Linked DNA regions of Chlamydomonas reinhardtii. The main gene of each other region encodes a partner of the protein of the gene in region 2 in a complex. Links are inferred from orthologs where the notes say so. Each region holds a gene or a part of one and is shown on either strand. Other genes may lie near its edges.

Region 1 (3,743 bases), about 600 kb from region 2:
GTCACTGGGCAGCCGGCGCACAACAGCCCGCAGCGAAGCAGCGGCAGCAACATCCCGTCCGCAGGCGCGCCGCGCCCCGGCACCGGCGGCTCGGCTCCTACAGGCGGCAGCGAGTCTGGCGGTGCCAGCGGCCCTGGCGCGGGGGGCAGCGGCGGTGGCTCGCGCAGTGCAAGCGTCGCCGCTGCGGAGAACCTAGGCAGCACCGTCAAGGGGCTGCTGTCGTGGCTTGGCCAAGGCGATGGCTCCCGTTAAGCTCGCTACACGCCACCAGCAGCTGGCTACATAAGCGCCGTGTACTATTCCAGCTAGCCTCCTTTGTAATGGGGTGCCATACCGCCGAACAAAGTCAGTACAGTAACGCCTTCTGCGATGCCTTCGCATGCGTGTGCGGACCGCCCCAAGGCGGGGCACGGCTTCTCAACGAATGCCCTTCACGCACTCAAGTCTACAACCCGATGGGCATACCGGGATCCAACGGTCTTCTATCTAATGCCTAGAAGAGTCTGACAGTAATGGTTGTGTGTCATGCTGTCATGGTCGTGTCGTCAAGTAATTTCAGTAGTAGCGTTGATTTAAAAGCCCACGGTCACGGCCTTGAGCATGGGCGCCACCTGGTCGAAGCGGATGAGCTCCTGGGTGCGCTTCACGACCGACTGGTTGTCGTCGCTGCGGGCAGAACGCGGGCGTAATACAGGGCAGGAGGGCCATGAATGGCGTGAGCTTGTAGCACTTGGGGTACAACCCCAGTTTTTAGGACAATCTGATACTAGATAAGCACGATATGTAGGTGAGTGTTGATGGAGGAGGAGAGGTTGTTTGCGGGGTGTGCATTTCCAGAGTACAGGTGCGGCAGGATTGGAGGTGGGCAGGTGGACATGGGATGTCGCGGCGCTATCATGCCATGTGGCACAGGAGGCACCAAACATGTTACCATGTTCGATCAGCTGTTTCAGCTCTGCGTGCGCCCACGGTGTGCCCGCGTGCCCCGCTTCCCGGCCCCTCATCCTAGCAATGCCAGCAGACCCCGCCCCCTCCGCAGGCCAGTCCAGAATTCTGCGCCTGTACTCACTTCTTGGGGAGCCCCACCACCTCGCCAGCGGGCGTGTTGACAATGCTCCAGCCAGCCGACTTGCACTTTTCAGACAGCTGTGGTCAGAAGCAAGCAGCCAGCAGGCGCGTTTTTACCCTGATGCTAGCTGATGAGGCGCACTGGCGAAGGGACCTTCAAGCCGGCGTCACAATCTCCCACCCCGCCGTATGCACACAGCTTAACCCTTTCGCTCACGTCCTCAAGCGACGCTCCTCAACGCCTTTCTACCCAACCCAGCCCTGCTTACTGCGCACCATTCACATGTAAACGCACACGGAGACACTGCCGCCACCACGCCCCCCCATAAGAAACTCGTAAGCGCAATGCATCACTCACGTACTGCTCCAGCGTGGCGCCCTCCAGCTTTAGGCAGTCCGCCAGCGTGCGCTTGGTCACGCGGCCGTAGGTGTGCACCAGCGTGTGCGCGATGAAGCCGCGCACCGACTCGTAGAAGCCGGGGACTGCAGCAGAGCAGCAGATAGAGCTGGTTTAATTGGCATTCGTGACGTGTGGCAATCGGGGCGCCTCTGTTGCCTCTGATTCCGCATCCGTTGCCTTTAAAAACCCCTGCGTCCTAGCTGAGTGGCTCCCACTCCAGCCAGGTCCCCGTGCGCTGCACTTACTGCCGCCCAGCAGGTCGCGGCAGGTGTTGGCCGCGTTCCAGAAGTCGCCGAAGCGGCTGGTCTCCAGCGCGTTTGCGAGCTGCACCACCTTGTACACCGACTCGTCAGACTGCAGCAATGCAGGGTTCGTGCAACGGATGGAGCAATAGTGGAACAGGAGAGGTGTGGAAACAGCCATGAAGGTGCCACAGCATTCCCCGCGTGTCTTGGGCGGCACCCCACGGTGCGGCCCCTAACCCACCCCACCCACCCCCTCCCCCAGGCCCTGACGCTTTAAACGCCATTCCACTGCACTTCGCACACCTGCAGCAGGCGCTCTGGAAGCAGCGTGATGCAGCATTTGTAGTCCTGCGCGGGCGCCTGCATGATCGCCTTGATAAGCACCTTAGCGACAATGGCAGGCTTCACGCTGGCCGGGCTGAACTGGTAGAAGCGCAGCAGCGTAACATTAGCATCCAGGCTCCATGAGCGGTTCGCGACCTGCAGCAGTGCAGGACGCTTTCAGCGCAAATTGCCGCCGCCGAGCATGTGTCGCCGTGCTGGCACCAAGGGGCCAGGGGACTAAACGGGCTGCTAAGAAATACAGATCTACCTGCTCATCAACATACGCCTCAAGCTGTGGCAGCTTGTCCGGCGAGTAACGATCAGCACCAGTCACGATAAGAGACATTTTAACTGGTATGTAAAGAAAGGAAGTGTCAACGTAAAAGAAAACCAAGACAAGTGGATGCTCACCCTGGGATGCGACGCTGCGATGGCCGATGATGGGGCTCCGAAGCGGTAGAATCCACTCTCTAGTCTGTGAAGTGCAACGATACTGCATGAGCTACGAACGTAAAGCTGTATACACGCACTGGGAAACTGATTTCTTGCATAGCGCGCGTCTCGACAGCTCGCCAAGCTCTCTCCCTGCTCCGAACACGCCGCGAACCCCACAATTATCGCGTGCTTTAGGAGAGACTGTCGCGCCTTGAGCGGCTCTGCAGGGGCCGGGCGCTCGAGCGATCAAGAGGAGCGTCGTGCGCCAGCCCCGCCCTTCGCGTCCTGTCACCTTCCACAATGCTCCTCCGGTTGCGGCAGGCGCTGCCGCTGCTGCAGACCTTCAACAGGTGGTCTGCAATAGCACCTATCCCCAGATTCCGCAGCTTCCCCGCTGCCTCGTCTGCCGCTGATAGCGACAGCGCCCTGCCAGCGGTAGACGGTGCCAGCGGCGAGCCGCCCAAGCCCAAACGCACTCGCCGGGCAACCTCCGCGGCCGCCGCCGTGCCCAGCGGCAGCAGCGATGATGTACCAGTGGCAAAGAAGCGGGCTAGCCGCAAGACCGCTGCCACTGACAGCGCGACTGAGGCAGGGCTGGACCCCTCGTCTGGGCCGAGTGAGGACGACGCCGAGGCGGCAGCGGCTGTGCCCAAGAAGCGTGCCTCGTGCCGCAAGGCGCAGGCTGCCGAGCCGGGCGAAGAGGCCGCTGCTTCAGCATCCGGAGTAGCAGAGGTTGGAGGTGATAGCGCAGCTGCAGCAAAGCCAAAAGTTACGCGCACGCGTCGCACTAAGGTAGCAGCCGAGACAGTTGCAGAGGGGGGCCCGGAAGCGGCGGCGGCTCCTGATGGGGAACTGCAGGCGCCCAAGAAGCGCGTATCCAGACGCAAAGCTGCCGTGAAATCATCATCCCAGGAGGATGGAGAGGAGGAGAGCATTACCATACGGAGTGAGTGGGTCTGCGCCCTTGCGCTTGCTCGCCATCAGGTGCTGCCAGCAGCGTTCTACTCTCCACTACTGCGAAGCCCGTTCCTGCACCCTTGTCACCCTTTCCTGCGCCCTGCGCGCCGTCCGTCCTCCTCACTCTCATCTCTCCCCAACGCCCACCCGCTGCCGGACTGCCCCGCGCCCAGGCCTGCCGTACGAGGAGTGCCTCGTGCTACCGCGCCAGGCTGAGGCGCTGCTGGTGGTGCTGGGGCTGCGGCCGCCCGCCTACACACACGAGCCCGCGCCCGAGGGCTCCTCCTCCGCTTCCACCTCCTCCTCCCGACGCG
Region 2 (3,743 bases):
TGCAGCGCACCAGCCCGACGGGAACGCGAATGCACCGCCTCCCTAGCACGAGACAGCCCATCCAATGAGCTCACCCGAACAAGCGTTGCCGAGTCCGTGCCAGCCGCGGCTGCACAGCCCCCCGGCACGCGCTGCTGCTGGCGCGCGCGAACACACTGCCAAGGGGGCGACCCCCCCGTCTCACGTCGCTGAACAAGCATGCCCTTGCGCCCCGCCCATGGGATAATCGTGCAGCTGCTGCAAATTCCAGCCGCCGCGCTCCTACCGCCCTTCACTGTATTGCAAAGCCGCTGTCGCCCGTCTACGTCACTGCTCATCTCATCAGCACCTTCGAACGCCGCTCGCCAGCGCTGTCCCACACCCGCTGCCGCGCCCTCCGCCCAGCGCTCCTGGTCTGATCCGTGCAGCAGCCGTCGCCAGCGCTCCCACGCTTGCTGCTGTAGAAAGCTGCCCATCCCGCAACGGAATCCCGTAACTCAAAGCTCGCTGCTGTCGTGAATCGCCTGCCGAAGCGGCAGACCGCGCCCTGCACACCGCTGTCGTCCACAAGCAAGCCCGCAATCTACAAGGCAAAAGGGAATGATGGATGGCGATCAGAGCTTGAGGTAAAGTGATTCCTCGTCACGTCAACCTTTCGAACCTCTTCGCAGTTCCCAGGGCTTCTTCCGTATCAACCGGCGAATTGTTGCACGTCCGTTACCAGGCCGCGGGTCCCCTTCCTTGCCATGCCGCGTGCGGAGCACCGCTGGAACTGGGCCTAGCAGCCGTCTGCCCAATGCAATTGCTACCCCATCTACCAATCCCTTAGGAATCCAGCACTCTTCACCTCCAGAGCTTGCCTTTCTATTCCACCCCATTCCCGCCAATACCAAGCCCCAGACGACCCCCTGGCCCACATGCATCCCCGCGCCCCCGCCAACCCCATCCCGCCCGCCGCCATGGCTCCAACTCCCACCTGCTTGCTGCTCCTCCTCCCCCGGCTGCTGCTCGCCGCGGTGCCTTACGGCTTGACGCTGCCCACCACGGTGTTGGCCAGCACGTAGGTGCGCACGGACAGCATCTTGGCCTTGTCCACCAGCTGCTCGTGCACGGACTGCGACTGCGTGCCCATCACCACCGTCCCCGACTTGGAGTCAATCTTGGCGTTCAGCTTGGCGTTGAGGATGAGGTTGGCAATCCACTTCTCCGCCGCCTCCTGGTCCATGCCCAGCCGCTCCGCCAGCAGCGCAATGGAGATGGACTGGTGTATCCGGCAGTACGTCTCGAAGATGAACAGGCGCGCGTTCTCAATGAACTCGTCCTTGTAGGCCGCCAGGAAGAAATCGTTGTCCAGCACCGCCTCGCACTCCTTCAGCTTCTGCTGGGCGCCGTCGAAGTCGTAGTGCACGAACACGCACTCCAGGAACTGGGTCACTGGGTCCGAGTACTCGTACGACTCCTGCTGGATGGCGCGGATGAGCTCCTTCAGCACGCTGCGCTGCTTCTTCTTGTTGATGACCACAGCCACCGCCACGTAGCGCAGCAGGTGCGGCGCGTTGATCTGGATGGCGGAGATGTAGGCTGGGGAGAGGAACAGGTCAATGATGTCGTTGCGGCCGTTCTCATGGTTCCAGAAGACGTACAGGGACCAGTGCAGCAGCCAGGTGCGCTGCTGCAGCTGCACCAGCGGGGGGGCGAACGTCTGGTTGTCGATGACCTCCTTCAGCTTGAACACGTCCTCCCGTGCCTCCTGGATGTTCACCGCCTCGTGCATGAGGATCTCCGCAGCGAGCTTGCCCCACAGTGCGCTGATGTTGCGCTCGCTGTTGGTGCAGAGCGTGCGGTAAGACTGCAGCAGCTCCGCCGCCAGCGAGTAGTTACCGCAGTTGAACTGGAAGCGCGCGTACTGATACAGCGCCTCGACGTGCTCCGCGCCAATCTGGAACTCCTCCTGGAGGAACTGCAGGTTGAAGCTCTTATCCTGACGGAACTTCTCCACCACATGCCTGTTCTGCAGACACTTGATAATGGGGTCCACGTCCGCCTGCAGCTGGCGAAGACGCGCCACCACCTGGCTGCGGCGGTCCTTCATCTCCGCAGGCACCTCGTCCACGCCGTTTAGGCCCTTGTAGATATCCATCGCAAAATCCACCTACAACATCGAATTTTTCGCTCAGCGACCCGGACTCAAACTGGAAAGGCCGATGGCCTCTGCACTCGCTGAGCTGCCCTTCCCGCTTCCGGCATCCCCAGCCTGTCCAATAGCTCATTCCAAGTGCCAGGTCTCCAGATCTAAACACTAAGCGCGTACCATGTTCGTCTTGTCCAGCAGCGCCAGCTTGGCGCGCAGGATGTCGTCCTCATTGTAAAGGCCGCGCTCTTGGAGGTATTCCATAATAGGCAGCGTAAGGTGCAGGTCCAGATACTGGACCAGCTTGGAAGAAAGCTCATAGTTGGTGGCAGCCATCTTTCTCTCGGCGGCGGCTACGCCCCTTGCCTAGTCCTAAGGCCTGACCAGTCCGCTGTGAAACAATTATGGGGTGGGGGCTGCGGGAATGACAAAGGAACGGGCGATCTACGCCCCGGTGCGCAGCCCGCTCTCGCGCTGTGCCGGATGGGGGTCCGAGTGCCCATCGGCCTGGCCCGCTCAAAACGGGCTTTCGGACTCCGAACTAATACATAAGAGGTTAGGTGTATGTATAGATAGGGCATCGGCACATTTCCCTTTCTCTGTAGGGAAATGACGTGATCTCTATCGCCACACTCTTGCGTTTCTCTGCGCTTGCCTACGCGACTCTGGTGAGGGTTGCGGGAGCCCAGAAACAGCGCAGCCAATCACGAGACAATGGCGGCTCCGTCGGCGGTGGTCCTGCCGCCCTCCCCCAACTGGTAGGCGGAGTCGGGAGTCGGGAGCCAGCGTCCGTGCTTTGCCCACGCCGTTCGCTGCTCCTGTACTCTTGATGCGTTTTGCAAGTGGTGCAAGGGCTAGAGTGTCAGGCCTGTTCAAGCCAGTGCGCCCACGGGCCGCAAACCCGCATTCCGGAAGCAGGGGCCGGGGTCACAGCCGCACGCACTGTCAACCGCCGATTGCGCCGCGCTATGCCACATAGCTCGTAGCCCCTACATGTCAGACCACATCACACCCATTGGTAAGGTCACTGATGCGCCTCACATGCCCACAGGTTCAGCAGCCAGGTGGTGGCGGTGCTGCCGAGCCAGCAGCTGGTGGCGTATGGCGGCCACTACGCGGTGGTGGTGGCCTGCGCGCAGAGCCGCACCGTGCAGCGCATGCTGCCCACGGGCGGGAGCAGGTGCGCACAGCCTTGGGTTGCAAGGTAGTGGGTGGGCAGCGGGTGGGTCGGGATGATTGCGGGCAGCACATGCAATTTGCTGCCTGCGCTCGGCCTGCGTGTTGCTGAAGCCGCGACGCGGCCTTCGCACACATCTGGTGGCGCATGTCCTCACGTGCCAGCAACGTCCTGGCCCTGGCATAGCGAACAGCCACTGTAGTGGAACCCCAACATGCCGCTCAGGACTTGCTCGCAAGCGTGTCCCTGCCGCGGGCCTGTCGTGCAGAGTGACATGTGTGGCGTTGCCGCCTGAGAGCGTCGGTGGTCGCCCGCTGGTGGCGGCGGGCTGCGAAGATGGTTCGCTGAGGTGCTGGGACATGGTCAGCGGGGAGCCGGTGCGCACCCACCGCAAGGGCAAGGCGCCCGAGGTCACAGCGCTGGTGGCTTTGCCCAGGTGGGGCTCATGTCGGTTCG
Region 3 (3,743 bases), on a different chromosome or scaffold from region 2:
CAGGCTAATACCTACAAATCCAATACAAGCAGAAATGGCGTCGGCGCATTGCTCAAAGCCGGCGGCTTTGCCTGCAATGACAGTTGCACTGTGGGGCTGCGCAGGCTGGCGAAGGAGCCGTCAGGGGTGCCACTGGGAGGCGCAGTCCCATGTTCCCGTATTAAGCCACGCACACCGACCTCCCATACCCACCCCACGCATCGCAGTCATGAACGGAGGGCACCACACTTAACATATCTGAGCACGAGAACGCGCGAAGATGCCGTTACGCTTACATACCGACAAGGCAGAGCCTGCCGCGTAGGGAATGTGGGCTGTCTTACTTGTACGTGCGCCCATGTTCGCCCTCGCGAGGAGAGTCAACCGTCACGGACCTTGCCGCGGGTTGCACACAGCGACACCTCACAACTTGCACTCCTGCAGTCCTCCTACAATGTCTGATCGTGTACTGGTTACGTCCACCCTCTTAGAGCAACAACACTCTGCACTCGTCATGTCTGCCTATGCGCCGCTAGCTGGCGCGCTCAAAACAGCGCAAGCTGTGTGTGCTTCAACGCGGCCATACCACAAACGCCCCACCCAATCCCATCCCGCCCTTTGTCCCTCAAACTGAGCACCTAATAACTAATGCCACTGGTAGGTGTGCTCGGTAGAGCAGTTGCACCAGACAGCGCCTTCCGCCTTCAAACCACTACAGTCCCACAGCACACACTACGCGCTTCATGTTTGGCCCCTGCAAGCACAGCCTCTGCGACAGCACCCATCATAAGCGGTGCCATCCTCCTGCATCCCGTGTCTGCATCCCGTGGTCATGGGTCTGTACAGCCGAGCCCGCAGCCCCAGCAAGCGCCTGCTCTTCCGCTCGCAGGTCCTCGAGCTTACAACCCCGCCTTCTGCATGCCCTCCATCAGGAACAGCTTTTGAATGGTCTCGCCCGCCGCCACGTTGACCTGGTCGCAGTAGGTGGCGATCTGGTTGGTCACCAGGTAGTTATCCAGCATGGATGGCTCGGGAATGGGCTTGAACAGATTTGGGTCCTCCTCCGGCAGCGGCTCCTGGTTGTCAGCCTGCCGCTGCTGGTTCTCCTGCCGCCGCTTGGCCAGCCACACCGCGTACGCCTGCTGCTGGCGCGCCACGTTCTTGTGGTACATGGTCACCTTCTGCTGCTCCGCCACAATGTCGTCCACGCACTCCAGCAACGACTGGATGTTGCGCTCCAGGAAGGGGGCCGAGGACAGGTTGAGTCGCTCCACGTCCGCCTGGGTCGCGGTGGGGGCGGGCATCAGGTCCGCCACCAGCGCCTGCACCAGGTTGCTGTTGCGGATGCGGATGGGCAGCTCCACGAAGATATCACGCCACGACAGGTTGGCCTCGCGAAAGCCCTTGAGCGTCAGCTTCTGCTCCTTGCTCAGCTCAATGAACGACTCCTTGAGGCGGATCGCCTTGAGCGCGATGCTGCCGCGCGATGAGCGCTGGGGGTCATAGATGATGCACACGCACTTTTTGATGTTCTCGTGGTAGTTGATGAACGTCTCTATGAGCTCCACGGTTTGGAAGGTGCCCATGTTGGCCGACTGGTACCTGTGGGGTGCGGCCCGGCAGGTGCACGGTTCGTAGGCAAGCGCATGGTGCGCAGTCGGGTCCAGCCCTGAAGATGCTCGGCGGCTGCTACCCCGAGGTTCTGCTTGCGGTACTGTCGCGGGTGGCTGATGGCCATGTCGCCCCCAGGCCAGTCTCGAGCCCCGCCAACGGCCGAACGGGCCTCGTGTCCGCAGGCAAGGACTCTGACAGGCGGTTCATACACGGTGGTTGCCGCAGCTAGCGTGCCGCTCATGTAGTGCGCACATGCCCTTGTCCGCTGATGTCCCGGCGGCTAGCATGAGTGCTACGGTACCGTCCCGCCTTGGGGCGCTTCCCAAGGGCGCTTCCCCACGTCAACTCCCCCTCCTCTGCTTTTGCACCTGACTCCTTCCCTCTCCTTTCCCCCGCGAGCTCGCGCATTGACTGCACCCACCAGCCGACGGTGTTGTTGTCCACGTTCACCTCACGCAGGCAGCGCATCATCTCCAGCTGGTAGTTGGCGCCGGCCGACTCTGCCTCGGAGTCATCGTCCGCCACGGTAGCCTGCACACACCCGGCCCACACCATCGCCGATCTTTATTGTGCATATGCATATGCTGATACACGCGACTTTCCCCTGCTATGCGTGCTCGACAACGCGAGCAATCTGGGGGCCGCCCAAAAGTCCGCTTGGCGCCCTCAGCGCCTGCTATCCTCAGCGCTCACCGGGAACGCGAAGCAGTCCGTCACCTCCAGCTGTTGACCAACATCCAGGCCCAGCAGCTGGCCGGTAACGTTCTGGGGCAGCGCCTCAGTGCAATGCTGGATAATCTTCAGCAGCACCTGACCCTCAAGCTGCACCGTCTTCACGAGCTCCTTATGCGGCTTAGGAGCGATGGCCTCCATTTTTCAGCGCCTCTGCAATAAACCAGCGGCCTAAGTCGGCGGCGCCGTGCCTATAAGCAAAGCCTGTTTTTCAAAAGCTAAACACAAGAGTAAACGATACGACTACACGATGTCTACAGTGATCAGGGTGTGTTTGGCTGCAATGCGGGGCCCGATCGCACTTCCATTTGCAATGCAATTTCTCTCAGACCTGAAATGTCAGTTTGCTGCTGTACTTTTCGCGCTTGTACCTTCGTGCTTATGCTGAACAACAACGAGTAGCATCACCTGTGTTTCGAACTAGGATCGTCGCAACAGTCGCCAAAAGCTTGCGCGTTGACGAGGGCGGCTAGGCCTCAAAGTATACTTGGCAGTATGGCGCGCTTGCGCGCGAGCTTGCTGATGGCAGCGCTGCTCGGAAGCGCTGTAGCCCTCGTAGCATCGGAGCGAGTCTTGCTGGGCAGCGACCATAAATTCAAGCCCGGAAGTGACATCATGCTGTATGCAAACAAAGTCGGACCCTTTCAAAACCCGACGTGAGTAGTTTTGCTGCAGCCAGCGGTGCCAGCTCGCGCGCCAACGCGGCGCGATTTTCGCTCCTTGCCTTGCAGGGAAACGTACCAGTATTACAACTTGCCGTTCTGCCAGCCCACTGACGGCAAGGAGTATAAGACGGAATTCCTAGGCGAGGTGCTTGAGGGCGACCGGTTGGTGACAACTCCCTACAAGCTGCAGTTCCGCACCGATGTTGAGAACGCGGTGCTCTGCAAACGCACGCTCACTGCTGGTGACTTAAAGAAGTTCAGGGATGCCGTGAAGCAGGACTACTACTTCCAGGTGCGGCGGGTTGACACGACTGGGACCAGCGGGTGTGCGGGCGCGTGTACCCCAGGACGTGTCCGTCCCGGCCCGGTGCACGCTGCCAGCAACTCCCGGCCTGTACTCGTCGCTGACACCCCATGCGCCGGTCAACACCTCTATTGCGTGTTTGCCCTCATTCGCAGTTTGCCCGCATGTTGGGTTACCGTGTGCATGTTGGGCCTTGCCACCCTGCACACCTGCCCCGCAACCTGTCGCACATACCAGAAGAGGATAGTTCCTGGTGCGCGCCAAAGCACAACAGCGGCTTGACCCGTCATATGCCCCGTCTACCCCAAGAAGTTGCCTTTAGGTTCTCTTTGCGTGCTCCTGTGCGTGCTCCTGTGCGTGCTCCTGTTGAGCGTCGCTTAGGTACTTATCTCTGACCCCGCGGCTCTGACCCCAGATGTTTTACGACGACCTGCCTGTGTGGGGCTTCA

What was found.
Region 1: CHLRE_12g498100v5 (region 2) and CHLRE_12g515650v5 share a complex: the UniProt entries of both Arabidopsis thaliana proteins name them as parts of the eukaryotic translation initiation factor 3 (eIF-3) complex. The link is inferred for Chlamydomonas reinhardtii from reciprocal best matches to the Arabidopsis thaliana genes EIF3E and EIF3K.
Region 3: CHLRE_12g498100v5 (region 2) and CHLRE_16g676314v5 share a complex: the UniProt entries of both Arabidopsis thaliana proteins name them as parts of the eukaryotic translation initiation factor 3 (eIF-3) complex. The link is inferred for Chlamydomonas reinhardtii from reciprocal best matches to the Arabidopsis thaliana genes EIF3E and TIF3H1.

Annotation. Positions count from the first base shown.
Region 1 is NC_057015.1:3,875,632-3,879,374, forward strand, and holds the start of CHLRE_12g515650v5 (uncharacterized protein), read right to left. Parts: upstream 2,412-3,743; 5' UTR 2,384-2,411; coding exon 2,306-2,383; intron 2,194-2,305; coding exon 2,017-2,193; intron 1,823-2,016; coding exon 1,714-1,822; intron 1,552-1,713; coding exon 1,427-1,551; intron 1,147-1,426; coding exon 1,070-1,146; intron 667-1,069; coding exon 573-666; 3' UTR 1-572. Other genes in the region: CHLRE_12g515700v5 (uncharacterized protein), read left to right, coding at 2,773-3,418, 3,603-3,743. UniProt on the Arabidopsis thaliana protein: Component of the eukaryotic translation initiation factor 3 (eIF-3) complex, which is involved in protein synthesis of a specialized repertoire of mRNAs and, together with other initiation factors, stimulates binding of mRNA and methionyl-tRNAi to the 40S ribosome.
Region 2 is NC_057015.1:3,278,799-3,282,541, reverse strand, and holds the start of CHLRE_12g498100v5 (uncharacterized protein), read right to left. Parts: upstream 2,524-3,743; 5' UTR 2,447-2,523; coding exon 2,291-2,446; intron 2,132-2,290; coding exon 1,001-2,131; 3' UTR 1-1,000. Other genes in the region: CHLRE_12g498150v5 (uncharacterized protein), read left to right, coding at 2,825-2,868, 3,162-3,290, 3,556-3,723. UniProt on the Arabidopsis thaliana protein: Component of the eukaryotic translation initiation factor 3 (eIF-3) complex, which is involved in protein synthesis of a specialized repertoire of mRNAs and, together with other initiation factors, stimulates binding of mRNA and methionyl-tRNAi to the 40S ribosome.
Region 3 is NC_057019.1:3,507,634-3,511,376, reverse strand, and holds CHLRE_16g676314v5 (uncharacterized protein), read right to left. Parts: upstream 2,563-3,743; 5' UTR 2,467-2,562; coding exon 2,287-2,466; intron 2,125-2,286; coding exon 2,015-2,124; intron 1,582-2,014; coding exon 879-1,581; 3' UTR 260-878; downstream 1-259. Other genes in the region: CHLRE_16g675958v5 (uncharacterized protein), read left to right, coding at 2,941-2,981, 3,057-3,282, 3,710-3,743. UniProt on the Arabidopsis thaliana protein: Component of the eukaryotic translation initiation factor 3 (eIF-3) complex, which is involved in protein synthesis of a specialized repertoire of mRNAs and, together with other initiation factors, stimulates binding of mRNA and methionyl-tRNAi to the 40S ribosome.